Linked DNA regions of Elephas maximus indicus. The protein of the gene in region 1 interacts with the protein of each later gene in a pairwise test. Links are inferred from orthologs where the notes say so. Each region holds a gene or a part of one and is shown on either strand. Other genes may lie near its edges. The genes, in order: ADARB1 and PRKRA.

Evidence for each region.
Region 2: the proteins of ADARB1 (region 1) and PRKRA interact in binary tests that used the Homo sapiens proteins (3 or more experiments, as listed by UniProt). The link is inferred for Elephas maximus indicus from reciprocal best matches to the Homo sapiens genes ADARB1 and PRKRA.

What each region holds. Positions count from the first base shown.
Region 1 is NC_064820.1:229,720,772-229,735,946, forward strand, and holds the start of ADARB1 (double-stranded RNA-specific editase 1), read left to right. Parts: upstream 1-9,647; 5' UTR 9,648-11,880; coding exon 11,881-11,980; intron 11,981-15,175. UniProt on the Homo sapiens protein: Catalyzes the hydrolytic deamination of adenosine to inosine in double-stranded RNA (dsRNA) referred to as A-to-I RNA editing.
Region 2 is NC_064824.1:76,730,155-76,744,998, forward strand, and holds the start of PRKRA (interferon-inducible double-stranded RNA-dependent protein kinase activator A), read right to left. Parts: upstream 5,748-14,844; 5' UTR 5,605-5,747; coding exon 5,540-5,604; intron 4,988-5,539; coding exon 4,818-4,987; exon of another isoform or gene 1,478-4,817; intron 973-1,477; coding exon 891-972; exon of another isoform or gene 841-890; intron 1-840. Other genes in the region: PJVK (pejvakin), read left to right, coding at 10,591-10,801, 11,534-11,729, 13,171-13,312, 14,426-14,543. UniProt on the Homo sapiens protein: Activates EIF2AK2/PKR in the absence of double-stranded RNA (dsRNA), leading to phosphorylation of EIF2S1/EFI2-alpha and inhibition of translation and induction of apoptosis.

The DNA.
Region 1 (15,175 bases):
GGCTGGCTCCCAGAACACAAGGCCCAGCCGTGAGGGCCAGGGTGGCTCCCAGAACACCAGGCCCGGCTGTGAGGGCCAGGGTGGTTCCCAGAATACCAGGCCCAGCTATAAGGGCCAGGCTGGCTCCCGGAACACCAGGCCCAGCTGTGAGGGCCAGGCTGGCTCCTGGAACAGCAGGCCCAGTGTGAGCTCAGGCTGGCTCCCAGAACTCAAGGCCCAGCTGTGAGGGCCAGGCTGGCTCCCAGAACACCAGGCCCGGCTGTGAGGGCCAGGCTGGCTCCTGGAACACCAGGCCCAGTGTGAGCTCAGGCTGGCTCCCAGAATACCAGGCCCAGCTCTGAGGGCCAGGCCCAGTGTGAGCTCAGGCTGGCTCCCGGAACACCAGGCCTGGCTGTGAGGGCCAGGGTGGCTCCCAGAATACAAGGCCCGGCTGTGAGGGCCAGGCTGGCTCCCGGAACAGCAGGCCCAGTGTGAGCTCAGGCTGGTTCCCAGAACACCAGGCCCAACTGTGAGGGCCAGGCTGGCTCCTGGAATACCAGGCCCTGTGTGAGCTCAGGCTGGTTCCCAGAACACCAGGCCCAGCTATGAGGGCCAGGGTGGTTCCCAGAATACCAGGTCTAGCTGTAAGGGCCAGGCTGGCTCCCGGAACACCAGGCCCAGCTGTGAGGGCCAGGCTGGCTCCTGGAACACCAGGCCCAGTGTGAGCTCAGGCTGGCTCCCGGAACACCAGGCCCAGCTATGAGGGCCAGGGTGGCTCCCAGAATACCAGGCCCGGCTGTGAGGGCCAGGCTGGCTCCTGGAACACCAGGCCCAGTGTGAGCTCAGGCTGGCTCCCAGAATACAAGGCCCAGCTATGAGGGCCAGGCTGGCTCCCGGAACACAAGGCCCAGCTGTGAGGGCCAGGCTGGCTCCTGGAACAGCAGGCCCAGTGTGAGCTCAGGCTGGCTCCCAGAACACCAGGCCCAGCTGTGAGGGCCAGGCCCAGTGTGAGCTCAGGCTGGCTCCCGGAACACCAGACCCGGCTGTGAGGGCCAGGCTGGCTCCCAGAACACAAGGCCCAGCTGTGAGTGTCTGGCTATGAGCATCTGGCGGACTTCCAACTTTGGTCTTTTGGAGGCTTGATGAACTCCTTTAGAACGGTAGGTGGTGCTGTAGCTTAGCATCTAAGACAAAGAGTAGGCTAGATGGCATACTGTGTTGCAGCGAAGAAAAACTTCGTTTCACATCATACAAGTTTCCACGCATTCCTAATGTGCGCTGAGATTCTGGCTTTGTTCAATGAGTTCTGTAATTTCTGTTAATTGGCTTTATTTTAACCCTTTTAAAGTACCCAAGAGGCAATGGTATGAAATACCTACAGCTGGTTTAATTCAGTGAATGATTAAAACAAAAAACAAATCTGTTCCCTTCGAGTTGATTCCGATTCATAGCTACCTGTCCCATGGGATTTCCAAGGAGCAGCTGGTGGATTCAAACTGCTGACCTTTTGGCTAGCAGCCGAGCTCTTGACCACTATGCCACCAGGGATCCTCAGTGAGTGATAGGACTTGTAAGTTAAATTTTATCAAAATAATTTATAAATTTAACTATAATAAATTATGGGCTGGCTTATTTTGTTTTTTATGGAATTGGAAGATACAATTTTGTACATCTTATATACTTCTTAAAAAAATTCTTGAGGGTCTAAAGTTTATGTGTAAAATAATGTCATGGTTCCACTGCTTTAGTCTAATGTTTCGTTTTAGGATCACATAACCCAGGTGTCACTTTGTATCCTTTGTTCATAAATCCTGAGGAAGCTTGGCTGACAAACAGGAGAAGGTTGAGATTGCTTGCCCTTGAGGAAAAATCCTAGCCATTCCAGGATTCAAAATATGTTACTTTTTGCCTTTCAAAATCAGCACTCATCTGAGACACGTACATTTGGATTTTTGACTGAAAATTCCTGGGTGAAGTCATCTTAAATGAAAATGCAAAAAGCTTAATTGAATTCCTTATCGTGAGTGAGTTGAAGGATGCTGCAGGCGGGCTGAAAACTGTGATCGTTCTGGGCTGATGGGAAATAGAATGTTTGAAGAATTGGTGTATTTTTTTTTTACTTATAAAGAATCTGAATATATTAAAAAATATATAATGTTGGCAGTAGTGTTTTTGCTTTAATGGGGCAGCCCTGCAGAGTGGGGTGAGCTCAGTTCTAGGCTGGTGCACCCTGGATTCCAGCAAGTCCTCCTACTCATCGGACATGGGACTTGGGCAGGCCACGTAACCCCTTCACCCACCAGTCCCCTCTTTATAAAGCGGTAAAATACCATAGCAGCGGAAACTCAGGTGGCACCTACCCTGTCCTCACCTGAAGAGAAGAACCTCTGCCTTCACAGAGCTTGTATTCTAGCAAGGCAAAGGAAGACCATCAGCGGTGCCCGGAGCAGACGTTACATTATGCTGTGTGTCAGAGACAACAGGAACGTGCTGGGAAGAGGACTGCATGGGGGCAGGGGGTGGAGCAGGGGTAGGCGTGCGTAACTGTCATCATGACTTACAGATGAGGAGTCTGAGGGGCAGAGGAGAAGAAACTTGCCTGAGGCCCCGTGGCACTGTAGTTGTGGTCACGGGGTGTAGCCACCCATTATGTGCAGGGCATAGCTCCTCTCACGAGGACTCAGTTGTGAACAGTATCCCTGATGGTTGTGAAGACATGATGGCGTGTCCACACACCCTCACGCAGTCTGTACAGAACCCACTTTGCAGGCCGTGGTGAGGTTTCATTGAGTGACAGTTGTGAAAACATGGTGGCGTGTCTACGTGCCCTCATGCCATCAGTACAGAATCCACTTTGCTGACTTCAGTGAGGTTTCAGTGAACTGACTCGTGGCCATGGTCACATTATCAGCTCCCACTGAGCACTTGGCCTCAGTGGCTCCCCCGCCTCTAGCTTCCTCTTCCGGCAGCTGCAGTGTCAGGCGTCAGTCTTTGGGCTTATCTGTCTCTGTCACTTTATTACTCATTCCCCAGCAACCTCTCGCACTCTCCCTGGTGCCATTGAGCCCAGCTGTGGGTCTTTAGCCAGGCTGCACCCCAGACACAGACCCTGCGTCCTTCTAGCATCTCCTCGGGTAGCTCACAGATATCTCCACTGGAAGACGACAGGCCCAACTCCTGCTCTTAACCTCAGCGTTTCCCGTCAGCTGCCCCATCTTCCAGTGCTCAGAAGCTGCGGGGTTGTTCCTCTCTTACCCTGACATTGAACCTTCGACATTCAGAATGTGGCCACTTCCTGCTGCTTGCTCGGCTCTTCCCTTCTTCAGCCCTCATCCCCACATCTGTCCTCACCAGTGGTCAGCACCTCCTTTCAAAAGCAGGTTAGGCCATATCCCTTCTGCTCAAAGCTCTGAGGTGGTCTGTACCCTAAGAGTGATCACCTCAGTCCTACAGTGGCTTAGGAGACCCCACGTGTCTGCACCTCGGGGCCCCTTGGCCACCTCTCTTCCCTCCTGTCTCTCCTGCCAACTCCTTTGCAGTCATTCCGGCCTTGCAGCCTTTCCTGGAAGATGCCAGGCACACTGCTGCTGCTGCTTCTGCCTCAGGGGCTTTGTCCTTCTGTCCCCTCCCAGGATGCTCTCCCCCAGGCACTGTCATGGCTGACGTTCTTACCACCCAGGGGCTCTGCTTCATCACAGCTTCTCACCAAGCTGGTACTGCTGCCTCCTGCCTGGTACCCACTCAAGTCCTCTTCCTAGCACAGCGCCTGTCATCTCTGACACACAGCGTGATGTAATTAATGTCTATGCTTACCACTGACGGTCTTTCTCCTGCTAGAATATAAGCTCTGCGAAAGCTGAGGTTTTTGTCTGTTTGTTCACAGATGTATCCCAAACCCTTAGGACAGTGCCTGGTATACAGTAGGTACCCACTCAGTGTCAGTTGGAGGAATGAGTATTTGCTATGTTTGTTATTAACAAACATTTCTGAGGCACTTCAATATGACATTAAGTAATGTCACGGTTTCCCATGTGTTGACTATTCTTAAATAACCAATGAGTGAATACCTGATCATTTAGAGAGTTTAGAATTCTAGTGGGTAAGCATCTTTTTTTCTTATTTTAAGAGTAGAAAAATACTTTTTAAGAGTTTTATCTTAACTGAATGTTCTCAGAACATTAAATTTTGGAGTCTTTACTTTGAGGACAGGTAAAAATAAAATTAACTGGATGGATAGATAGAGACAGTCGAATCAGCTCCAACTCATGGTGATCTCATGTGTAACAGAACAAAATGTTGCCCGGTCCTGCATCATCCTCACTATTGCCAGCATATTTGAGTCCATTGTTGCAGCCACTGTGCCAGTCCATCTCATCAGGGATCTCTCTCGTCCTGGCTGGTCCTCTGCTTTACCAAGCGTGATGTCCTCCTTTCTGTTGATGTGTCCAAAGCAAGTGAGTTGGACAGTGTTCTATTGGGATCCGTAAGGTTTTCATTGGCTGATTTTTGGAAGTAGGTCTCCAAGCCCTTCTTCCTAGTCTGTCTTAGTTTGGAAGCTCCACTGGAATCTGTTCATCATGGGTTTTTGGAATACCAATGGCGTAGCTTCCAGCATTGCAACAACATGGAAGGTACGCAGTATGACAAACTAGCAGACCGGTGGTGGAAATTCACTAGGTACCTGGAATGTCAGTGCTAAATGGCGAATGGCTACTTCTGACATTCTGCTAGAATTATATGTCCTTATTAACTTGCAAAGATAGCCGACTGAAGTAGCAAACAGGTGCACTTTTAAAATTGGAAAAAAAAAGGGCTTTAAAATATTTTTAAACAGTAACCTTTGTCAGTTTAATCATTTGCTGTGACTTCCTCCATTCTCCTGGACACAAGCATCCTCTTTATGTTTCTCTTAAATAATCCTGTCATGGATCGAATTGTGTCCCCCAGAAATATCTGTCAGCTTGACTAGGGCGTGATTTCCTTGTATGATTGCATGAATGTCTACCATTTTACCTTCTGATATGATTTCCAACGCTGTAAATCCTATCACTATGATGTAATAAGATGAGTTCGTGGCAGTTACACTGACGAGGTCTACAAGATTAGGTAATGTCTTAAGCCAATCTCTTTTGAGATATAAAAGAGAGAAGCGAGCAGAAAGACATGAGGACCTCATACCACCAAGAAAGCAGTGTGGGGAGCAGAGTGCATCCTGTGGACCTGAGGTTCCTACTGAGATGCTCCCAGACAAGGACTTTCCCCCAGAGCCGACAGACAGAGAAAGCCTTCCCCTGGAGCCAGCACCCTGAATTTGGACTTGTAGCATACTGGACTATGAGAGAATAAAGTTCTCTTTGTTAAAGCCATCCACTTATGGCATTTCTGTCATAGCAGCACTAGATGACTAAGACAGAATTTGGTGCTGCGAGAGTGGGGTGCTGCTCTAACTGACACCTAAACCATGGAAGTGATTTTGAAGCTGTGAATGGATAGAAGACTCAGGGAGATGAGGAGAACTGTTAACACTGGAGAAGGTGCAGATGGTGAGAAACAGCAGCAGAGGACTGGTGGCAGGAGCAGCGAACCGGCAATAGCAGAATCAGCAGACCAGCGCCAGACAGCTCTGGAGCCAACCCATGGAGCAAGAGAACTGAGCGCCTGTGCGCAGGAGGCTTCCTGGCAGAGTGGGCTGCCTCTGGGGACTTGGCCCTGGAGCTAGGCTTGCTGACCCTTGGAGCGAGAGAGCTGAGTGCCTTCGGGCCAAAGTTTACTGGCGGAGTGGGGTGCCTCCAGGCACTTATTGGTGGATCTGCAGAGCTTTGGAACACCTGCCCCAGCAGGACAGATGTGGGCGTGAGGCCCGAGGAGCCGAGAGGCCAAGAAACAAGGAAGCAGAAGCTGAAGAGACAAGAACACAGGAAGCCAAGCTAACTTAGTCTCAAAAGGTATGGCCGGGACCTCTGGGGTTTCAGAGGGCGGATCCATGGCCTCTGGTTTTCTAAGGGTAGAGTTTTCGCTTAGATGGACTAGGAGAATGGTGTGCCTGAAGCCAAGAGAGCAGAGTTGCCATCTCAGTGGGCCTGGAAGGTGGAGCTGAAGCCCAGGGCCGAGGGGCCTCCACTCAGAATCTGGAGAGTGCGGCCAGTACCTAGAGTCTGGAGGGCAGGGCTATTGTGTACATGGTCTCAGAGAACAGAGGATTATTTTCAAGGCTTGAGGGCTAATGTAATGTGTTCTGCTAACTTGCTTGTGCCTGTTATGCCTTCTTTCTCTCGAATTTCTCCCATTTGTAATGGCAATGTCTGGCTTGTGCTTGTTCTGCCATTGTACTTTGGAAGCAGATAACTTATATTCTGGATTTTGCAGATGAAGAGGAATTTTTAGATTTTGGGCTTGCAGCTGATTTAAGACTTTTGCTCTGGTATGATGGGTTGAAGATGTTTTATGTGTGGCAAGGACATGAATTTTGGGGGGCCAAAGGGTGGAATGTCATGGATTGAATTCTGTCCCCCCAAAATATCTGTCAGCTTGACTAGGTAATGTCATCTGATGCGATTTCCTTAGGTGTTGTGAATCTATCACTATGATGTAATAAGGTGAATTAGTGGCATGTACGCTGATGAGTCCTTCAAGATTAGATAGTGTCTTAAGCCAATCTCTTTTAAGATATGAAAGAGAGAAGTGAGTAGAGACATGGGGACCTCATTCCACCAAGAAAGCAGCACTGGGAGCAGAGCGCATCCTGTGGACCTGAGGTGCTGAGATGCTCCCAGACCAAGGGAAGGTGGCTGCATCACAAGGAACTTCCTCCAGAGCTGACAGAAAGAGAAAACCTTCCCTTGGAGCTGGTGCCCTGAATTCGGACTTCTAGCCTGCCAGACAGTGAGAGAATAACTTTCTCTTTGTTAAAGCCATCCGCTTGTGGTATTTCTGTTATAGCAGCACTAGATGAATAAGACAAACCCTAAAGGTGAAAGGAGGAAGCAGGGAGAACTGAAGCAGGAAAGGATAGAGATACAGAGTCAGGACACCACCTCAACTCTGGTAACTTAATTGGAATGACTCTAAAACAAATTAATGTGCCTTGAGAAGGGGCTGCTCCATTGGTGCGCCTCTACAGCTCACAGCCCCAGATTTACCACAGTGAGGGTGCCCTTCGCTTTGTCATGCTGGCAGGTTCTAAATTGCTCTTTCAGGAAAGAACAAATAAAGTGTACATCATGTTGGGAAGATTTATGGTGCATTGGGTTGCGTCATTTGATGAGGAAAACACAATGTGATTATTAGTTGAAGGCAAAATATATGGCATTGCCACTTTTATCTAATTTTTTATGTTAACGTAGAGCCAACATCAAGTGAGATTGTACAACATTATGGTCAGGAAACGAGCACGTCTTTTAGAGACTGTTACGTGTGTTTTAGTTAGCAGGAACCTAAGTGGACCTGGTCTTATTGAACCAAGAAGTGTTGAGAAATGTGCTGGATCAATGACTCCACGGTGGCCTTGACACAAGACAGACGCACAGATGTTGGATGAGCCCAGTGCAAGTTCTCTTAACAAACTCACTGTGACATCTTTCACAATATTTGCTGTTGTTATTGGCCATTTAGTCAACTCCAACTCGAACTCCAACTCCCAACAATAACAGAACAAAATATTGCCTGGTCCTGTGCCATCCTCATAATTGTTGGTATGTTTGAGCCCATCGTTGCAGCCACTGTGTCAGTCCATCTCATCGAGTGTCTCCCTCTCTCTCACTGACCATCTACTTTACCAAGCATGATGTCCTTCTCCAGAGATTGGTAGTCCTGATGGTATGTCCAAAGTAAGTGAGACATAGCCTTGCCTTCCTCACTTCTAAAGAACATTCTGGCTGTACTTCCTCCAAGACACATTTGTTCATTCTTCTGACAGTCTATGGTATAGTCATTTTTTGCCAGTACCACAATTCGGATGCATCAGTTCTTCAGCCTTCTTTTTCATTGTCCAGCTTTCCCATGTGCACGAGATGATTGAAAATTCCATAGACTGTAAACCCCCAGTTAATTTTTTATGAATGTATAACTGAAGATGGTGGTGCTCATGTATCTTCACTGACAGTATTATCTTATTTGATAGATTTGATGGACTCCTGAAAAGCTATGCACATACTAGGGTTTTGTGGCCACATTACAGGGTCGTATCCTCACCGGTGCCGTTTGCTTCTGAAAAGGACCCAGTGAGAGGCTGCCAAACAAATCCAAATATCCTTTTGTTACGTCTCTTGGCTTATCAGGTTTATGGATTCTGATTTATCTGATTTAAACAATTGGAAATTTTAAAGATAGGAGTATATGTATACTTTGAAAGTTTTTCTTTCCATGAATATACTTATAACTTGCCATGTGGCTAGATGTAGAACGTTGTTGTCTTTTTTGGGTTATGATGGAGAAATTAGAATTTTCTCATTTCAAAGAAAGGGGCAGTCATCACTTGTGTATTGGTTGGGAAACTCCGTAATAGGAAATCCCAAAGCCATAAAACCAGCCCTTGATTTCAGCTGGTTGGAGCCCACCCCGGACAAGTCCTTCAAGAGCCAGCAGGGGGCGCAGAGACACGCCAGCCTCTCCTGGGAGTGGCTCCACTTGGCTGCGCCATTTGCAAAGATGTGGTGTGAATGTGAATGGAGGCTGTCCCAGAGATGAAGGCCCCCCATCAAGCTTAGCCTCCTCTAGAAACAAAACTCAAACAAAGCCCCGATGTAGAGAAATCACAGATTTTTTTCCCTCTTTTTAACCTGAGAGTATCTAGCCACTGGGGAGAGGTTCCTTCTTTTCACCTGAATTTTTTAAGCCTTCGATTATTCCTCAGTAATTTCATCCTAAAGAATCCAGAGTCAAGATAACTTTTTATAATTTGTCTTTTTACCTTAAACTGCTATTGGTTTGATCTGGACTGCTTGAAACTCTTGTTAAACTATTTATCCTGGATGAGATCTGGAAGTTTCAGCTCCATTTTTCAAATTGCTTCTTCCTTGGTTCAGTCCCCATTAGGAGACCCCTGGGGCCTTGCTTTGAAATTCAAATGTGGCTTCTCCTGGCAGCCCTCACGCCCCGACCGGCACCTGCATCTCCTGGGGGCGGGGCGCCTGCACTGGCGACAGGGACATTGCACAAGGCATTCTTATTTAGCGGGGTGAGTTTTTAAAAATGTGATGATTTTTTTAAGCTTTGGCCAATCTTCAGTCCTCTAGACCTGGTTAACCACTGGTCGTTTCCCATGGTTATGTACCTAACTTATTTTGATTCCTTGCAAGGGAATTGTTAATAAAGATGCCTATAAAACCAAAACCAAACCGGTTGCCAACTCGTAGTGACCTTATGGACAGAGTAGAACTGCCCCATAGGGTCTCCAAGGAATGACTGGTGGGTTCAAACTGCTGACCTTTTGATTAGCAGCCAAACTCTTAACCACTGCGCCACCAGGGCTCCAATACAAAGTAGTTCCAGAGAGGTTTTCTTGTTTGTTCTCTAACATAGTTAGAGGACTTTTTCTTTTGAGTAATATCACAGTTTTAAAATTATTTAAAGCTGAATTTTAATTGAACACCTTGAAATTTTTATTAAGTTAATGTTAATACTATTTAATATCAATAATTTTGTATATTAACAATTAACATATTGTTTATAATTAGTGTTATATGTTAATATAAATATATAAAAATAAAACTATTGACAGGTCTGGTGTTTGATGTCCGTCTGGTTGCCAGCACAGAGCATCAATATCATATGGTTTACGCCCGGTATGTCTAGACCTTCACACACACTCTCATACAAATTTAGGAGCAATATGAATCATTTGTCCCTGAGTGGCACAAACAGTGAATGCACTCAGCCGATAACTGCAAGGTTGGAGGTTTGAGTCCACCTAGAGGTACCTCAGAAGAAAGATCTGACAATCTACTTCTGAAGGATCACGGCCATGAAAACCCCATGGAGCACAGTTCTGCTCTGACCCACATGGGATTGCCATGAGGCAGTTGGGCTTTTTTTTAATGAATTACTTAATATGACAAAATATTCCTCGATCACCATGTACAATTGTGTGACTGTTGCGCTAATGCATGTACCTTAGGAATAATAAATAGGAAAACAGACGGGGGACATTACTGGGAAATGGTACCGTGTTATGTAAAATAAGAGTACATCATGCTGAGAGGAAGGATTTGACAGGTTAGTTCATTTGTCATTTCTTTCACCTCAGTGCACGTGCCACTCAAATCCTCAGTGTAACCTGAAGCATGACCCATAGGCAAGATCAGCAGCAAGACAGCCCACGGGCTCCAGAGCACTTGTGTACAATTAACTTTTGTTTAGGAGCATATGACAGGAGATGTGGGAGGGTCTCCCTGGGGCTGGAGCTGTGTTAGTCTAGACAGAGGGCGTTGAGGGTTATGGATTGTGCTGTGCCGGCACAATGGGCTGGGTCCCAAGTGACAAAGGTACTCGAGTACTCCATGAGGCGTGTGTGAGTGAGTGTGTGTGGGGGAGAGAGAATGTGTGTGTGAGAGAGAGAATGTGTGAGAGAATGTGTGTGTGAGAGAGACTGTGTATGTGAGAGAGAATGTGTGTGTGTGAGAATGTGTGTGAGAGAATGTGTGTGTGTGAGAGAGAATGTGTGTATGAGAGAATGTGTGTGAGAGAATGTGTGTGAGAGAGAATGTGTGTGTGAGAGAATGTGTGTCAGAGAGAATGTGTGTGAGGGAGTGTGTGTGAGAGGGAATGTGTGTGTGAGAGAGAATGTGTGTGTCAGAGAGAATGTGTGTGTCAGAGAGAATGTATGTGTGTGAGAATGTGTGAGGGAATGTGTGTGAGAGGGAATGTGTGTGTGGGAGAGAATGTGTATGTGTGAGAGAGAATGTGTGTGTGAGAGGGAATGTGTGTGTGAGAGAATGTGTGTGTGTGAGGGAATGTGTGTGTGTGAGGGAATGTGTGAGAGAGAATGTGTGTGAGAGAGAATGTGTGTGTGTGACGGAATGTGTGTGTGTGAGAGGGAATGTGTGTGTGAGAGAGAGAACGTGTGAGAGCGAGCATGTGTGTGTGAGAGAGATGAGGGCCCAGGCTGCCTGGTCCGTCTGCCAGACGCTGTGGAGCACAGGAGCGGTTTCAGTCTTAGCCTCTGCCCCTTGGGTGCTCATAACCCCCCGGAGTAGGCGGTATCCCTGCAGTGAAGTAGGGACCCCAGCAAGTCACCACAGGGCCTGAGTCAGGCAAGGAGGAGGGAGGGAAGGAGGGAGCGCCCTGCCAGGAGGGCGGTCAGCAGGGGCCGCCATTGGAAGTGCGGTGTGCTTGTCCTTCTGGGGGCTTTATTAGCAACACCCTTCTATGGATTCATCCCACCGGCTGCCTTGCGTGACAGCCTCTTACTTTTTAAACAGTAAAACTCTTTTGTTGACACTTTAATTTCATTATATTAGGAACTTTGTTTTCAAGGAGACAGAAAGGACTTTTTTAAGGCCTTTGATCTGTTTGCTGTGGGCCATCTCCCTAGAAAGATCCCCAGGCATTGGGCACCTCTCCCCTCCCTCTCCGTGTGGTGTTCTGTGAGTGGCGGTGTGGAAGGGTTAACTGTCACGTGCCGCGTTCTGGGTGGCACGGCCAGCCGGGAAGTGACTGGTGGTTTGCGCTCCCTCAGCCCAGCAGCTGTGCAGCTGAGGAGCACGCCTGTGGCAGAGGGGGAGAGCTGGCTCCCTCCCGGGTGCCGGGTGCCGGGTGCCGGGTGCCACCCGGGTGCCGGCAGAGGGCTGCTGTGGCTGTGGCGGCGGTGGCATGCTAAGCGCTGAGCCTCCGTGTGACTGCCCCAGTGACTGAGGGACGCGCCCGAGAGCTGGGCTGGCTGTGGCTGGGGGTCGGCTCGTTGGCATGGCGTCCCTTGTCACGGCAACTTTACATGTGGGGACCTTCTTCAGCATCATGGGGCGGCGATTTAAAAGGAGGCGCAAGAAACGCTCGGAGAGGAAGGGTAATTTGTTTAGTTTTTATGGTGAAAATGTGAAGTAGGGGCTGATTTCTGGGGTAGACCGCTTTTGTGAGTTAGCAGTCCTGCTGATGCCAGTGACTTCATAGCATCCCTTTTAAAGCGTCTCTCTTTTTTTTCTTGGCACCTTAAAGAGACTGAGGGGCTAGCTTAAAAAGGAAACTGTAAAAAGATGCATATAAACGTGTGCATAAATCATGCTAGCTTCGGAGTTTAAAGTGTATTTTTAGAAAGATATTGATGAAAGCTTAGAAGTTTGTAGCTTTGAATATTAAAAGGTTTTCCCCTCTCAAGAGAGACGCTTTATAATATTTGTCCTTTCTCCTGCCACCCTATTAATGACTTCCCTAATGTTAAAACTATTCTTTATAATGTAGAAAGTAAGATTGTGGCAACCATTGTTAAAATATTTTCCTTTTAAAGAACAGAGAATATTCCTTATATTCACTGCTCCAGGTTAATTTAATTTCAGTTTTTAATTCACCATGATGTGTTAAGACACTAAACTCTATGTTTTCTTAAAACCAGATTCAAAAAGTTGTTCGTGACTATATAAAATTACACATTGTTGGCTGTTAGAGGTGAATTGTTGCTTTAAAAGCTGCTGATAGTTTGCCTTCCTATAAAACCAAAAAAATACCCATTGCCGTTGAGTTGATTCCGACTCATGGTGACCCTATTGGACAGAGTAGAACTGCCTCGTAGGTTTCCAAGGCTGTAAATCTTTACGGAAGCAGACTGCCACATCTTTCTCCCGCAGCGCAGCTGATGGGTTCAAACCACTGACCTTTCAGTTAGTAGCCATGTACTTAACCACCGTGCCACCAGGGCTCCTTGTCTTCATATAAAAATTATTTAATTAATTAATAGGAAATTAATTTCGTCTTAGGTGAAAAGATTCTTCTAGCTAGGGGAATAGTCAGTCTTGCCATGATGATTGAGTGTCTAGCCTCTGTGTTTGCTGTTACCTTCTCCTTCTCTCCCCGTCCCCAACTGACAGGACTGACCTGGACCAGGTCCCTCACCACCTCAGCACCCCTTGGTGTTCTGAGGCATGAGATAGACATCCCTTCAGGAGATAAAAATTAGCTGGTTTTTACTGTGGCTTCCTAAAAAAAACGGAAGAAGAAATTAATTTCTCAGTCAACAATCATATGATAAAACCAACCTGATAAATATAACAAAGGCCAAAAGACAATTATACTTAATGGAACTTCGTGTCAGGCATTGGGGGTCACAAACCTTGGATCTTCATCAGCACTGTGCCCTCTGGTGTTGTGTGTCCAGGGCACACACGCTATAATCCAACCCGTTGCTGTCAAGTCGATTCCGACTCATAGCGACCCTGTAAGACAGAGTAGAGCTGCCTCATAGGGTTTCCAAGGCTGTCGTCTTTAAGGGAGCAGACTGCCCACATCTTTCTCCCACAGAGCAGCTGGTGGGTTCAGTTAGCAGCCGAGCATTTAACCTCTGTGCCACCAGAGCCCCTTTACTATAATCCAGATGACTCATATTAGCCCTACTGTGTACAAATTCCAGAATCTTATTCTCCAGTAGAAAAACCCTCCTTACATACATTGCATTTTCAGACCAACATCTTACACTCAGTGTGTTACAAGATGCAGCAGTTAAGTCCATGTTTTAAATGACTCTGTTCTCTGGACGTTGCTATGTGGTGTGAATTTATTGTGAATGCTCTTAGACAAGACAGGGTTGTGTGTTGGTACCCACTCTTACAATATGCACTATATTTGAAACTAATAAAAATGCCTTTAAAAATTATGGATATTGTTAAGACTGACCGTTCCATTTATACCAAATTGGTGAAGTTTTACCAGATTTAACACATAATTTTTAGCATCGTACGATTTTAAGGTGCTGCAGATGGGTGTATTGTTCTTTCCAAGACTGGTATAACGTATGCCTCGCTTTTATGTAATTATTTATTGAAAACAATGGAGTAGCAAGTGATTTGCTTCTACTCGGCTTTAGTAACAATCAAATTTCAGTGATTTTTCATCACCCCTGAATTATCCACATAGTTACTCCCTTCCTCAGGGCACGTAATTGACTGTCGGCTTCGTATGAGACTCGGAGGAATTAGCTTAATCATCAGAAAAATATGGCAGAAAGAGAAGAATGTGCTCCTTTAATATTGAGCAGGACCTCCACCGAGCAGATCCTGCTGCGCTGGCAGATACTGCGGCCCGGGAGCCGATGCAGTCCCACGGCGGGACAGTGGCCCAACACGTGTGGTGTGCTCTGCACCCAGCCCGCCCATAGGGGCAGCTGTCGCAGCCCTCTTCCTGTCACAGCATGACCGCTGAGTGGATGAGCAGTGATGGGGAGCTGGGAAGGGCAGGTGGAAGAGTAGGAGGCGACGTGCAGAGCCCCCCCTTCGCCTGCACTGTTTTGTGTAGGTGGCTTCATGATTTCCAGGTGACAGGCTTTCATGTCAAGTCAATGTTGTGACCCTGTTGGTGCCGGACCATGCCGCATACTGTGTGGGGACTGCTGTGGGGCAGGCAGCACCTCCAGGGTGTGCTCCAGTCTGAGGTCAGGCACCCCACGTTTCTAGGACGGACATGTGAATGGGGGTGTGGGGAGTCTTTGGAAGACATAGAGATCCAGACCCCTAAGTCTTCCCATCTTAAGGTGCCACTGCTTGTGGTGGTGATGCAGGCAGGTGTTGGGTGGCCTTCTTCCCAGTCTCAGCCCAACTCTCATCTGTGAGAGAGTACTTCCCTGGCAGGTGTGGAGCACTGTGACAGTGGAGGAATAGGGTGGCATCTATCTGTCCACCATCTACCTGCTTATCCACCATCTGCCCACCCATCCACCAACCCATCCACCTACCCATCTACCATCCGCTCGCCCATCCACCATCCACCTGTCCACCATCCACCCACCCATCCACCGTCCGCCCACCCATCCACCTACCTATCCACCATCCGCCTGCCCATCCACCATCCACCTGTCCACCATCCACCCACCCATCCACCGTCCACCTCCCCATCCACCATCTGTCCACCATCCACCCTCCCATCCACCGTCCACCTACCCACCCATCCACCATCTACCCGCCCATCCAGCCACCCATCACCATCTACCCACCCATCCACCATGTACCTATCACCATCCACCCACCCATTCTCCAACCACCCGTCACCGTCCACCCCC
Region 2 (14,844 bases), on another chromosome or scaffold:
TTAAAAGAACATATTGTTCAAGGCAGACATTTGTTACTAGTTAAGCTAAATGACTGGTTTTAGTAAGACTTCAGGGAATATTTTTGGTTTAAGTTTTAAAGATTATCTTAGGGCAGCAGCTTCACAGGTTCATCCTTCATGGCTCCAGGAAGTCTGGAGTCCATGAGTATTTGAAATTCTGTTCTGCATTTTTCCCCTTTTGATCAGGTTTCTTCCATGGAATCTTTGATCAAAATATTCAGTAATAGCAGGCAGGCACCATCCAGTTCTTCTGGTCTCATGACAAAGGAGGCAGTTGTTCATGGAGACAACTAGCTACACATTCCATATGTTCCTCCTGTTCCTGACTCTCCTTCTTCCTCTGTTGCTCCAAATGACTAGAGACCAGTTGTTGTGCCTTGGATGGCCACTTGCAAGTTTATAAGATGCTAGACACTACACAACAAACTAGGAGATAGAAGTACTAAACACGTTATTAGGCCAGTTAACTGGGATGTTCTGTGAAACTATGACTAAACCTCCAAACCAGGGAACTAAATTCCATGAGGTGTTTGGTTGTTCATAAGTAGCCTCAACAGCTCCTCTTGTTGTAAATATATCTATTACACAACTTTTTCCAGTTCAACTTTTACAGGTATACAACTTATTGACAGCAATTATAATAACTGGCTGTGTAACCCTACCCTAAATCAGTGCAATTTTTTTGGACATAATTTTTTATAGGTAAAGTTGTCTTTAAATGGATGACAGATTTGAACAAGGAATAGAATGTCCGGGCTAAGATACTAACAATTGTTCACTTTGTTGCTTTTTTAAGTATGTTCAAACTTTGAATCTTACCTCAGCCATTGATATTTTTGAGCTGCAGAATACAAAGAAATTTAGCTCACCAAATACTTGCATTGGCTTTCAAAATGTTTATGGCAGCCTCTGCAGCTCTATGTTTCGCCAGCTTCTTACTTGTACCTTCACCTGAATTAAGGTTTAAAAAAAAAAAAAGATATCTTTATAAAAAATTCTTTATACCCATAGGTGTTTTCTTAATACGAAACAAAGTCAGTACAGGTTTTATATATATACCCTAGGTAATAAAAACATACATTACATGCAGTTATACGCTGTAATAAAATACCACATGAAAAACATTAAAATACAATTTTAAAAATTCTGTATATTTAATTCTATGCATACCTGTATAAAAACCATTATTGTTACCCCCACTCCTCACTTATCAACATGGTTCAGTTCCAGAGACCAGGTTGTTATGCAACACTTGGTGTTATGTGAGGAAGATGACCAGGGAAATGGGGATGCAGGGCACCCCAGGCGCTCTTTCATTTGCCTTAGGCCTGACAGGTGGTGCCTGACAGGTGATGCGCCCACCACAGCAGGTCTGCTCCAACCCCCTTCTTCCTCTTAGCTGTAGTTTCCCTCCTCCTCTCCCCTTGCTGCCAACCCCTCCCCCACTGCTTCTCACCTTTTCCTTCTACTCCCTTAGTCTTCTCCTCCTCCTGCTCTCTGGCGTGCTGGGTTGGGAGCTAGCTGGAACACGGGGACTGGTGCCAGAGCATGGCTCCTCAGAGCTGGGCAAGTCTGCCCCACTGGAGGGACTCAGTGCGCAGTGGGTGCAGGCCCAGGTGGGGGCCTTTCCTGCTCGACTACACCATTCCCAGATTTGTCACCAGCCCTCCTGGCTCACCCCCACCACTCCACGCTGCTGGGAGCTGCTAGGAGCTGGGCACCTGCACCCACCGCTGGGAGGCGCTTCCTGGGAGCCCAGGGCACTTCCTCCGTGCAGGCTGGGGCTAGTATGGGAGGTCTGTGGGGGCGGGTGGGGGCGTGGTGACAGCATGAGTTACCCTGCTGGGTGACACCAACCCTCCTGACACCATTGCAGCCAGTTACTCTCACCTCACACCTCAGCATTCATTACTGCCAGACACATGTTAATGCAAAAATGCAGATTTTTTACTATTGTCATAAATGCAAAATGTTGGAAAACAAGATAAGTGAGGAGTAGGAATATTTCTACATTATATTTACTGCATAAAATTGTAATAAAGTAGACGATGTCAATACAATTTAGTATTCTTCCCTTATTCTTGGGGAGGGAGTAATTTTCTCTGCAGCAAGAACTGATTTCTTGGATGGCAACAAATAGTTTCTTTTAAAGGAGCCACTTGCAACAGAACTGTTGGACAGAAAATGTGCATCATTTTATTTTGACAGCCCATCCTATACTGAATCAAATCCCTCAGCACTCACGACTACACACTGGGCATACTGGGGGAAAGTTTATATACAGAAGGTAATAGTTTACTTATGTGTATTCCATACAATGTCTATCCCTTACATGGGTAGGGAGGGGAGGATAAGAGTGCCTAATCATTAAGGGTGATGTCTGAATTTAAGTAAGCAATACCTAGTAAATGGTTAATCTTTTTCCTTCTGAGTCCAAACTGGGTGTTGAGAACACCTGCAGAGTGCTGACATCCATTCCTTTGGTATGGAGAGAAGAAAAGGTGGCATGGAAAAGGTTTCAAGTGTGACCATTCAAGTGTAACAGGGCACACAAACCGTATCCGTTTATCCACCAACACAGATATTAGGGGTACAGAGGATCCTGCACACAGAACACAGCCTAAATACAGGACTCCATCTGTAATCAATCATGTGAAACATGGCGTGGTAAGGCAGGCCTAAGTGGAGGGTATGGGGAGCACACAAGAGGGGCAGCTGCTCTACTCTTGGAAAGGATTCAGAAAGATTTCACAGAAGAGAGAGAACAGAAACCTGAAAGATTATTAAAAGTAGGTAAGGTGAAAAGAGCTCAGGGATTAGAAAGAGCATTCTAGGCAGAGAAAAGACCATCTGGAAAGGCTTAAAGGCAACACAAAATACCGTGTTCTCAAGAGTCCCAAGAGGTTGGACATGGCTAAAACAGGAGAGCTTGAGGGAGGAAATTTTGAGATAAAAGCCTAGAGAGTTGGGGGTGGGGAAAGAGCGATCTTGTAAATTTGTGCTTCTCAGTCTTCAATGTACATAGTAATCACCTGGAAATTTAGTTAAAATGCATACTCTGGTGTAGAAGGTCAGGGAGAGGGACTGACACTCTGCATTTTCATCAAGCTCCCACGTACTATTGATGCTGCTGTTGACCACACTTCGAGAAGCAAGGTTGTAAGCCATGCTATGAAATTTGTATTTATGGATGGGGAAACCATCAACTGGATTTTTAGCAGAGAAGTTATAGGAACAGATCTGAATTCTAGGATGAACACTCTGTTGTAGTGTGGAGAATGATCTGGACATTGCAAGACTAGAAGCTGAAAGAGAATCAATGAGACTAGCTCTAATCCAGGTGGCCTGGATAGTAACAAGGGAAAAAGGAGACAGACAGATTCAAGAGATATTCAGGAGATAGGATTTGGTTATAGACTAGACCAGCAACAGAGGGAAGAGTCAAGAAGATGAAATCCAAATCTCCGGTGTGAGCAACTGGGTGATGGTGGTGCCTTTACTGAGATAGGGAGTGCAGGGAGAATAGGTTTGGGGGAAAAAAAGATGGGCTCAGTTTGGGACAGTGAGAGTTTGAAGTGCCTTTGGATTATCCAAGTGAAGATGCCTACCAAACACCAGCTGATAACACTGTTCATAACTGGGCTTAGACTGAAGGCAGAGATTTCAGAATTATGCTTTGGGTAGTATTTGAAGCCATGTTGGCAGATAACCCTGTACAGGAAGACAAAGCAGTGTGTTAAGAGAAAAGCTAGTGGGCAGAATGGTTGCCATAGGTTGTCAATTCCTGGTATTAACCACAGTGAGGGGGAAAAAAAGGCTACCTTTTCAATGAGTAAAAATAGACGAGATGAAGCAGTAATGAAATGTTGACTCTATGGTTCACCCAAGAAACCTTCCAGCCAGCACCAACAATCCACCTACCTCACACAGACAAAAAAAGCTTCAAGATTTTCTTAAAGTAACTTCAGTGAGAACAGCGGATTTCCGGTAATAAAAACAAATGATGCCTTCAGATTACCAGATCGTGGAATTTCAGTCTTACTGAATTTTTTTTTTCTTGGTGTTTTTTCAAATTTAGTATTTAACATTTTGTGTTTGCAATTAAATAGATCATGATAAAAAAAAAATGTCCACACAGATGGACAACTTTAGCTACCATTTGTTCAAGTTCACAGACTATTATAAGGTGTCTGTATGAACTCTGAAACTTCATTGCTATGTGCCCTTGGACATACTACTTATAATCTCTCTAAACCTGATTCCTCATGTATAAAAAAAGAAGAAGACTGTATATAAAATACCTGTACAACTTCAGGAACTATAATTTGCTGATTTTGTGAAGCTTCTGCCCTTCTCATTTTGCTTGGATACAGAATTGAGTGTGGTACAAACCACCAAATGAGTCCAAAGAGAGTGGGAGAAGCTCAGAAAATTCTGGGGTCATGGCTTCTAGCATCTGCTATAATCTATAAAATGGTCCTAACAGCACCTACTGATCCAACTATGGCTGCTCCAACCTGCTTCTCCCTAATTCCTGTGGTCTGAAAGGAGCCGTACAGAAGTCCTGAGTAACTTTTTTTTTTTTTTACGTTTCTGAGCTTCTCTTGCTATCCCAGAGAAGAGAAAATCAGATGAAGTTGAAATGTCCCAATGACCTTAGATGAGGTGTCTCGGTTTCAAAATGCCTTCTCCCCATAGCTGTTTCTGGCAAAAAGAACACCTTTCTGAACGGAAAAGCAACACCAAGTCTTGGCTGCCAACCCCCATGGTCATAGGGGTTAACTGTGTATACAGACCTGTGCAGGTTATGTCACCAACGGTTACTCTGAAGGTGAAAGTGGGCACATGTATTTGCACATCTGATCTTTCACATTCATAAACCGGGATGTTCTTGGTCTTCATGCCGTATTCGTGTAATACCTGAATCGGTGTTTTCCCTGGCTTAGCTGTAATCATCTTCCCCAAACTGCAGAGACCAGAAGAAAAGTGTGCTTTGCATGGCAAAGCGTGGAGGGAAGCAGACGCATACAGAGGCCAGTTCTGACAGCCACCAGCAATGATGGGGGGGCGTCTCAGCTTCCTGGCAGCCTGAGCCGGCGAGGCCTGGGTGCACCTGTTTCCCGGCCTCGCTGCGGCGGGCACGGGACAGAGTGTGGGAGGTCTTTAGAGAGGTAACTTGAACGCAAGTACAGGAGTTCTCAGGGGAATAGGACGGAGCCCGGGGCTCAGGTCCAAGCCCGCAACCCTCTACCCGAGACCGGCCCTTACGGGAAGTGGCGGCCGCGCGCCGCCTCCGCCCACCCCGCGCACCGCCCAAGCTGCAAGGGGGCGGGGCCGGCCTAAGACGCCTGCCAGCGCGCCGCCGAGTGGGCGCGGCCGAGCGCCCGAGCACCGCCCGCAGCCGCGAGGAGGGGCCGGGACGCCAAGAAGGGGCTTTACCCAGAATGCCACGGAAGGGCCTCCCCTCCCCACCACCTCCCGCCCTGTCCGCCTCGGCCCTGGCTGAGCGGGCGCTGACCTGAAGGTCCCGCTGTCCTCGCGCTCCAGCGGCGGGGCCGCGGCGCGATGCCTGCTCTGGGACATGATGAGAAGGGACGGGTCGGCGGAGGGGGAAAGAGCGGTGAGGAGCGACGTCCTCGCTCCCCGGGTCGGCCGGCAGCCGAGAAGAGCGGTCCAGCGCCCCAACCGCCGCGGCCGCCTCCTCCCCGCCTCCCACTCCCCCACCCTCCCTGCTTGCGTCCCTGCTGGGAGGGGGCGGGCGGGGGGCGGAGGCGGAGGCGGAGCCTCGGCACGGCTCCCACTGTCCCCGGCTGCCGGCCACGCCTCCCTCGTTCCTACAACTCCCGACCCTTCTCCTTGCCCGACCCGCCCGGCTAGTAGTTCTTCCCGGCTCCCGGCCCCGCCCTTCCCCTCTTCCTACCCTGCTCCGCTCCAATTCCGGCTCTTCTCGGCTCCCGCCCTTGACCCTTCTCCTCCGGCGGCTCCAGGTCCAACTCCACACCTGGCCCCGCCTGCCCTCCCGCCGCCCGGCGGTAACCGGGTTCTTTGTCCTTAAAAGGAGGCCGTTTCCTGCCCGGCGAGAGGTTTTGTCAGGGGCGGACTCAGGGTCTGTGAGGCTTGAAGCTCAGGCTTTGTTATATTTTTGCGGCATGGATGGCTGGGTCCTTTAAGAAAAAGATTCAAAATCCAAATACAGTAGTGCTAGGGCCCCTGCCTGGGCCTGCCCGCGAAGCTTGAGACTCAAGCCTCGCGGGAGATCCGGCCCTGAAGGCTGCGGTGGACGTCCCCGGCTCCCAAACCCTGCTGTTAAGGCAATGTGGAGCCCTCCCGAGACCCTCACTCGCCGAGCCGGCTCCTTTGTCTTCTAGGCTTTGGTCGCGACGCTGAGGTAAATGCTGGTCCAGCGGACCCCGGCAAGGCACGTTAGGCGTAAACGGAGGCTTTTCTGTGGACAAGATTCCAATTAAACGCAGTTTCTCAGACCTGTTTCGTTGATCTAATTTGTTTGCCTGGGATGCGCCACGTTTGGTAGGGGGCAGACAACGACAACAGATGCGTTGTTTCTCTAGGAGTTTGGTATCTCCTTGCAGAAATGACTACCTGTGCTTACTTTATATTAAGGAAAATGGAAAATTGCACAATGCTGTTCTCACAAAGGGACATTATTAAAAGCCCTTTTTTTTTTTTTTAAGTTGCATGTGAGTCCTGGATACTCGAAAGCAAATGAAAAAATGTCCAGAATCCTAGATGGATTTTCTTTATTTGAGGCTTGAATTAAGCCTGTTCTTTCTCCTTCCTTCTCTACCACTTCGTTATTATTAGTTACGTTTCACTAAGATGTTTTAATGACTATCTTATTGTGAGCAACATATAGCCATTATTTCACAATACATTAACGTCTACATTACATCTATGGTAATGCAATGTTTCCACACTATTGTTTATAAAATTTTTCCTTAACCACCAAACCAAACCCGTTGCCGTCAGTCAATTCCGACTCAGCAACCCTATAGGACAAAGTAGAACTGCCCCCATAGAGTTTCCAAGGAGCACCTGACCTGTCGACCTGTTGATGAGCAGCTGTAGCTCTTAACCACTAAGCCGCCAGGGTTTCCATAACATTCCTTAAAAACATGCCAAATCTTGTTATGTTATTGTCATGTGCTGTGGAGTCGGTTCTGACTCATAGCGACACTATGTACAACAGAAGGAAACACTAGTCCTGCACCATCTCACTATCGATGTTGTGCTTGAGACCTTTATTGCAGCCACTGTGTCAGTCATCTTGTTGAGTGTCTTCCTCTTTCTTGCTAACCCTCTACTTTACCAAGCATGATTTCCTTCTCCAGGGACTGAGCCCTCCGGATAACCTGTCCAAAGTACATGACATGAAGTCTATTCATCCTTACTTCTAAGGAGTATTCTGGCTGTACTTCTTCTAAGATAGATTTGTTCCTTGGCAGTCAGGGGTATATTCCATTAATTAAAAGGCGTTAATTCTTCTTTTGGTCTTCTTTATTGTCTTAGTCATCTAGTGCTGCTATAACAAATACAAGCGGATGGCTTTAACAAAGAGATGTTTACGTCCTCACAGTAAAGTAGACTAAAAGTTCAAATTCTGAGCATCAACTTCAGGGGAAGCCTTTCTCTCTCTGTTGGCCTTCTTATCAATCTTCCCCCCAGGATAGGAGCGTCTCTGCATGGGGACCCGGGTCCAAAGGATGCGCTCTGTTCCCAACACTGCTTTCTTGATGGCAGGAGGTCCCCCACTCTCTGCTTGCTTCCCTTCCCTTTTATCCCTTGTAAGATAAAAGGTGGTGCAGGCCACACCCCAGGGAAACTCCCTTTAGGTTGGATCAGGCATGAGACCCTAGGACGTTACAATCTTACCCTAATCCTCTTTAACATAAAATTACAATCACAAAATGGAGGATAACCACGCAATACTGGGAATCACGGCCCAGCCAAATTGATACACACATTTTTGGGGGGACATAATTCAATTCATGACATTTATACATTGTCCAGCGTTCCCATGCATATGAGGCAATTGAAATACCATGGCTTTCGTCAGACGCACCTTATTCGTTGAAGTGACATCTTCGCTTTTCAACAGTCTAAAGAGGTTTTTTGGCAACAGATTTGCCCCATGCAATATGTTGTTTGATTTCTTGACCGCTGCTTCCATGGGTGTTGATTGGGGACCCAAGTAAAAAGAAATCCTTGACAACTTCAATCTTTTCTCCGTTTATCATGATGTTGCTTATTGGTCCAGTTGTGAGGATTTTTGTTATCTTTATGTTGAGCCATAATTAATAATGAAGGCTGTAGTCTATGACCTTCATCAGTAAGTGCTTCAAGTTCTCTGCACTTTCAGCAAGTAAGGTTGTGTCATTTCTATATCGCAGGTTGTTAATGAGTCTTCCTCCAATCCTGATGCCTCATTCTTCTTTATATAGTCCTGCTTCTTGGATTATTTGCTCAGGATACAGATTGAATAAGTATGGTGAAAGGATACAACCCTATTGCCCACCTTTCCTGACTTTAAACCATACAGTATCCCTTTGTTCTGTTTGAAAGACCACCTCTTGGTCTGTGTACAGGTTTCTTATGAGCATGATTAAGTGTTCTGGAATTCCCGTTCTTGGCAATATTACCCATAATTTGTTATGATCCACATAGTCGGATACCTTTGCGTAGTCAAAAACAAGGTAAACATCTTTCTGGTATTCTCTGCTTTCAGCCAAGAGCTATCTGACATCACCAGTGATATCCCTTGTTCCACATCCTCTTCTGAATCCAGCTTGAACTTCTGGGAGTTCCCTGTTGATGTACTGCTGCAACTGCTTTTGAATGATCTTCAGCAAAATTTTACTTGTGCGTGATATTAATGATATCGTTTGATAATTTCCACATTCTGTTGGATCACTTTTCTTTGGAATAGGCACAAATATGTATCTCTTCCAGTGAGTTGGCCAGGAAGCTCTCTTCCAAATTTCTTGGCATAGACAAGCGAGCACCTCCAGCCCTGGTGTTTATTTAAACATCTCAGTTGGTATTTCGTCAATATCTGGAGCCATGTTTTTTGCCAATGCCTTCAGTGCAGCTTGGACTTCTTTCCTCAGTATCATTCGTTCTTGATCATATGCTACCTCCTGGAATGGTTGAGCGTTGACCAACTCTTATTGGTACGGTGACTCTGTGTATTCTTGCCATTTCTTTTGATGTTTCTTGCGATGTTCTATATTTTCCCCATAGAATCCTTCAATATTGCAACCAGGGGCTTGAATTTTTTCTTCAGTTCTTTCAGCTTGAAAAATGCCAAGCATGTTCTTCCCTTTTGGTTTTCTAACTCCAGGCCTTTGCACATTTCATTGTAACACTTCACTTTGTCTTCTTGAGCTACCCTTTGAAATCTGTTCGGCTTACCTATTTGACATTCAAGAGCAAGTTTCAGAGTCTCTTCTGACATCCATTTTGGTCTTTTCTGCCTTTTTAAAGACCTTTTTCTTTCTTCGTGTATAATGTCCTTGATGCCATTCCACAACCTGTCTGGTCTTTGGTCATTAGTGTTCAATGCATCAAATCTATTAAAGATTGGGAAACTGGGATAATGATGGGACAAAAAGAAAATAAATGCAACAGGATCATATTTCAAAGAGATGTAATCCATGTGTCCAGCTTCTGAGTAAAAATCTCTATGTAGTATGGTTTATACAGTTACTTAATGTTTCTTTAATTTAGTATTTTTTAAAGATTGGCATACAATTGTTCCACTATATACTGTGAATTTGTATTTAGTATTAAGTACTTGGTTTTGTAACATAAACCCATTGCTATTGAGTCTATTCCAACTCATAGTGACCTGACAGGGCAGAGTAGAACTGCCCCATAGGGTATCCAAGCCTGCAGTCTTTACAGAAGCAGACTGCCACAGAGTGGGTGGTGGGTTTGAACTACTGTCTTTTTGGTTAGTAGCCCAGCACTTAACCACTGCGCCACAGCATACAACAAGGGAAATGAATGGGAAATGCTAAAACAATAGGCTATATATCATAAGAACGCAATACAATTTTCTGTTGCCAAAATTGGATGAAGGAATTCCCTTTTGACTAAGTCCACTGTAGCTGGTATCCAGGGCTAATGTTAGTGCCTAAATTGCATTATCTTCCATAGAGCTATATATGCTCATCTCAAAACTCACTCATTGGTACCTGCAAACCACTACTAAATGTGACCCTAATCAAGAACATTGGTTGTGTTTTAAAATAATTAGTTTTCTGTATATATTTTAGTGCCGTAGACTGCCATTCCAAATTAAACTTGCTTTTGGTATATCATTTTACAACTTTGATCTATAATTCATTACCTCAGCGCACGCGGGGAGGCTGTGTTGTGAATTCTACACTGGTAAACTACTTGGTGAAAACCATGCTTTGGATTTCTAATGTATGTAAATATATTTAAAATCAAGCTAGGTTTAATTTTGTGCCTGATTTTCTACTTTGAAAATATGGATTTATTATCTGGAGGTTATAGTTGATGACATTTTGATCTTATATTAATAATATGTTTGCTGCTGCTACCAAGAGCTTTGTCAAGCAAGTTGGAGATGGAGGGAGATTAGTTCCTGTTCCAAGCCTCAGTGAAGCTGACAAATACCAACCCCTAAGTCTGGTGGTAAAAAAGAAGCGATGCTTTCTGTTTCCTAGATATAAATTTACCTCAACACCTTTTACACTGAAAGACATTCTCCTAGGAGACAGAGAAATTTCAGCTGGTAAGTTTAAATGTCTGTTTGGGAGTTAACTACTCATTCAACTGTATAATTGTAACCTAAACACAGGTTGTATATATTACTAGTGTTAGTGATACTAACACACGTTTTTATTGATAAAAGCAACTTTTATTACAATAGTAGTAATAATACTAAGACTAATGATGCCTGGAATTTATATAAGAATTAAATCTCGTTTGATTGGTGAAATAATTTCCACATCTATGAATTATTTTCTAAGATGTTTTAATCAAATTAATGTAGACTGTAAGAAAAAAAAAAAATTTATGGGGGCATTATTTGGTCTACCTACCTCAAAGAGTCAAATGAACTATTGGAGATGTAAGTAATTTGTAATTATTTATTACAATACAGTTATTACCAATGGTAAACTAAAATATGTTTATGGGCTAGGTTAGAAACAAACAGGTTGACATTTTGACAAATTATTTCTTATAAATACTTGCCTTTATTTCAACCACCCAGTGAGTCTTTATGCTTAAGAAGTTCTGTTGACTGAAGAGGGAATTGGAGTTCATTTTAAGAATTCTGGCTGTTTATTTCTTTTTATTGGCATATTAATTGAATTGCTATTTTAAATCTTGGTTTAAATCGTTGCCCTTATTAACATTTGGGTGTTTTGAGTCTTAAATTGTAAAGTAACATGTTACTAAATGTAATTTACCTTAGATGGATTTAAGACATTTAAAATATACTAATTTCCTTTTCTTTAAGGTATTTCATCTTATCAATTACTGAATTATGAAGATGAGTCAGATGTTTCACTCTATGGAAGGCGGGGCAACCATATTGTGAATGATGTTGGGATTAATATCGCTGGATCAGATTCCATTGCAGTAAAAGCTTCATTTGGTGTAGTAACCAAACATGAAGTGGAAGTATCAACATTACTCAAGGAAATTACTACACGGTCAGTATAATAATCCTTAATATATTTGAACGTTTCCATTAAATATTTTAACTATATAAACTTCACTATAAAATATTTTAAAACATTGGCCTGTGTTTTACTAGTGTAGTTCATTTTTTTGAAACACTGCAAATTAGTGTATCTAAGTCTTGGATTAAAAAAAAACCAAAAAACCATACCCATTGCTGTCAAATCGATTCCAACTCATAGCAACCTTATATGATAGAGTAGAACTACCCCATAGGGTTTCGAAGGAGTGGCCAGTGGATTCAAACTGCTGACCTTTTTGTTAGCAGCTGAGCTCTTAATCACTGTGCCCTCAGGGCTCCAAACTTTGGATAAAGGTAGATATTGAAAATCATTTAGCTTAGGGAATTTTTAATTGTTCCAAAAAATTGCTTTGGCTCTGTGCACATTTGCTAAATTATTAGACTGAAAGAATACAGGAATCTGCCTGCAACAAATATACTAAGAGATTCCTCTCTAAGAGGCTCCTATAATAAACACACTTTAAGAAAATAGAAAGGAGAGGCAGAGTATTAAATTTCTTTTGAGCATACTTTCTGATTTCTTTCAGGCTTTCCTTGATTTGCCTTTGTTTTTTTTTGAATTGTAGTGCAAATATACACAATAATACATCCACCGATTCAACAGTTTCTTCATGTACAGTTCAGTGACATTAGTTACATTTACCATGTTGTGCAACCCTTATTTATCCCTATCTTTGTCCTAGTATTCTACCACTATTAATGTAAACTCAGTGCCACCCATGCAAAAAAAACCCCTTTTCCACCTCCCTTCCTCTCTCCCCTGGTAACCAGTAATAAGCTTTGGTTTCTATAAAACCACTGCCATCGTGTGGATTCTAACTCATAGTGACCCCATAGGGCTTCCGAGGCTGTAACTCTCTATGGACACTGACTGCCACATCTTTCTCCCCAGGAGCCTCTGGTGGTTTTAAACTGCTGACCTTTTGGTTAAAAGTCGATTGCTTTAACCACTGCACCACCAGGGCTCCTTTGGTTTCTGTATATTTGTTAATTTCATGTAAGTGAGGTCATACAGTATTTGTCCTTTTGTGACTGACTTAGCTCAGCGTAATGTTTTCAAGGTTCATCCATGTTGTAGTGGCTGTCAGAACTTCATTTCTCTTTATGGCTGAGTAATATTCCATTCTATGGTTGTACCACATTATTTGTTTATCCATTCACCCTCTAATGGATCTGCTAATGGAGTTTCCATTGTTTCCACCTTTTGGCTACTGCGAAAAGTGCTGCAGTGAACGTTGGTGTGCATGTGTCTGTGTGTGTTCCTGCTTTCACTTCTCTGCTTTGATTTACTTTTAGTTAAAATGGACTGTGAATGGATAGCAAAAACTGTCCCTCATTCTATGGAATTATATGTTATTGGTTCTTGTGAATGTCTTTCTTCTTTATTTTAGAAAAATTAATTGTGACCACAGCTTAATACGTCAGTCAAGGAGCAGCAGAAAGGCAGTACTGTGTGTGGTCATGGAAAGCATTCGAACCACACGGCAGTGCTCACTGTCTGTACATGCTGGAATCCGTGGGGAATCAATGCGGGTAAACCACACGCATTAGGCTTCTCTCACTAACTAAAATAGAGTTTTTGAAAATTGCTCAATTTCCATTGGCACTTGTGACTGCATATATTTTGAACAGATATTGAGATTAAAGAGCTGCAATTGCATAGGGTTTTGCATAGTAGTAGTTTTTGTATCAGAATACGAAAAAAAGGTCCAAAAAACTTGGATTCTGAACATGTGTAATATTAATGCAACGAAAACACTAATCCTTGTAAAATAATGTGCATACTGGAGGTCTTCTTTTTTTACTGTTCAAATGGTGTTTTAAGAATAAAAATTGCTCAAGTTGAATTTTTTTTAAGTGATAGAGTTTATACTTTGAAATTTTAAAAGTTGATTTATATTTTTGCATTAAATTAAAATAATTATTCTAAAATAATTTTATCAGCGGCCAAATATTGTTCATTCAACATTAAAACATTTTTTAAAAATCTTGGAACATTATTTGTGTTAAACTTTCAGCTCAATTTTGATATTGTTTGTCCTTGCCAGTCAGTACACCTAATAATGACTTGATTGACTTTATTAAAACCAACAGATAGAAAGATAGGTTACATGATAAATTTTTCAAGTCTTCACAAAAAATGTTCTGTTCAGTAGCTACATTCAGCTACCTGCCAAATTCTGATTAAAATTAGATTATTTTGGAGGCACCAACTGAAATTAACTTGAAAATAAGTTGGTGATTGCTTTGGAAAGCTGCTGAAATAGTCTTCCTTGAAAACAGTAGACAGAGTGGGCTGAAAAGCTTCAATTTTAACTCTTAACACAATTGCCTTCCAACATTTGCAGTTGGAAGAAAAAAAGACTTCTAATCCAGAGAGCATTCTGATTGTCGTAGCACTAATACTATTGGCACCAATACCAAAGTAAGTGAGATAGTGGTGAGGTATTTCTTTAATACAGATCATGAGTCTCAGGCGGACCTCTGCTATAAACAGTGTAATTCAAGTAGAATCATTCTTTACTTTGAGAGGCATTTTTTGGTTTTGGGGAGGTTTTCTGGGTAGAATTGTAGTAGGTGTTTTATCTTTCAAAAAAAATATCCTTGCATGTTATGATGCTTAATGATTTTATTTACTTATTATAGTTTCATTTTATGGATGAACAGAATCCCAGAGGACGAGACAAAGCTATTGTTTTTCCGGCACATACAACCATTGCTTTCAGTGTTTTTGAACTCTTCATTTACCTGGATGGTGTCTTTGGTGAGTGAACGATTTGCATCAAACACTGAAATGAATATATTTTTGCCAATTTAATTGAATGCTCTGTATCTCACTCTTTTCTGTCTCTGAATGTCGGTAATTCATAGAAGAGCAATGCCCTCAGCACTGTCAGCCTTTTGCATGGGTGAAGTAGCTGGGAAACGTCCTTGCTTCCCTAATTTCCCAAACTGTCTTTTCTGTAGACTCCCCACCCTCACCTAAATGCAATCCACTGACAAAGTATTCCTTGACTTACTAGGGGATGTAATAAAATAACAGGTAGTTTTTGATGGTGGCAGAC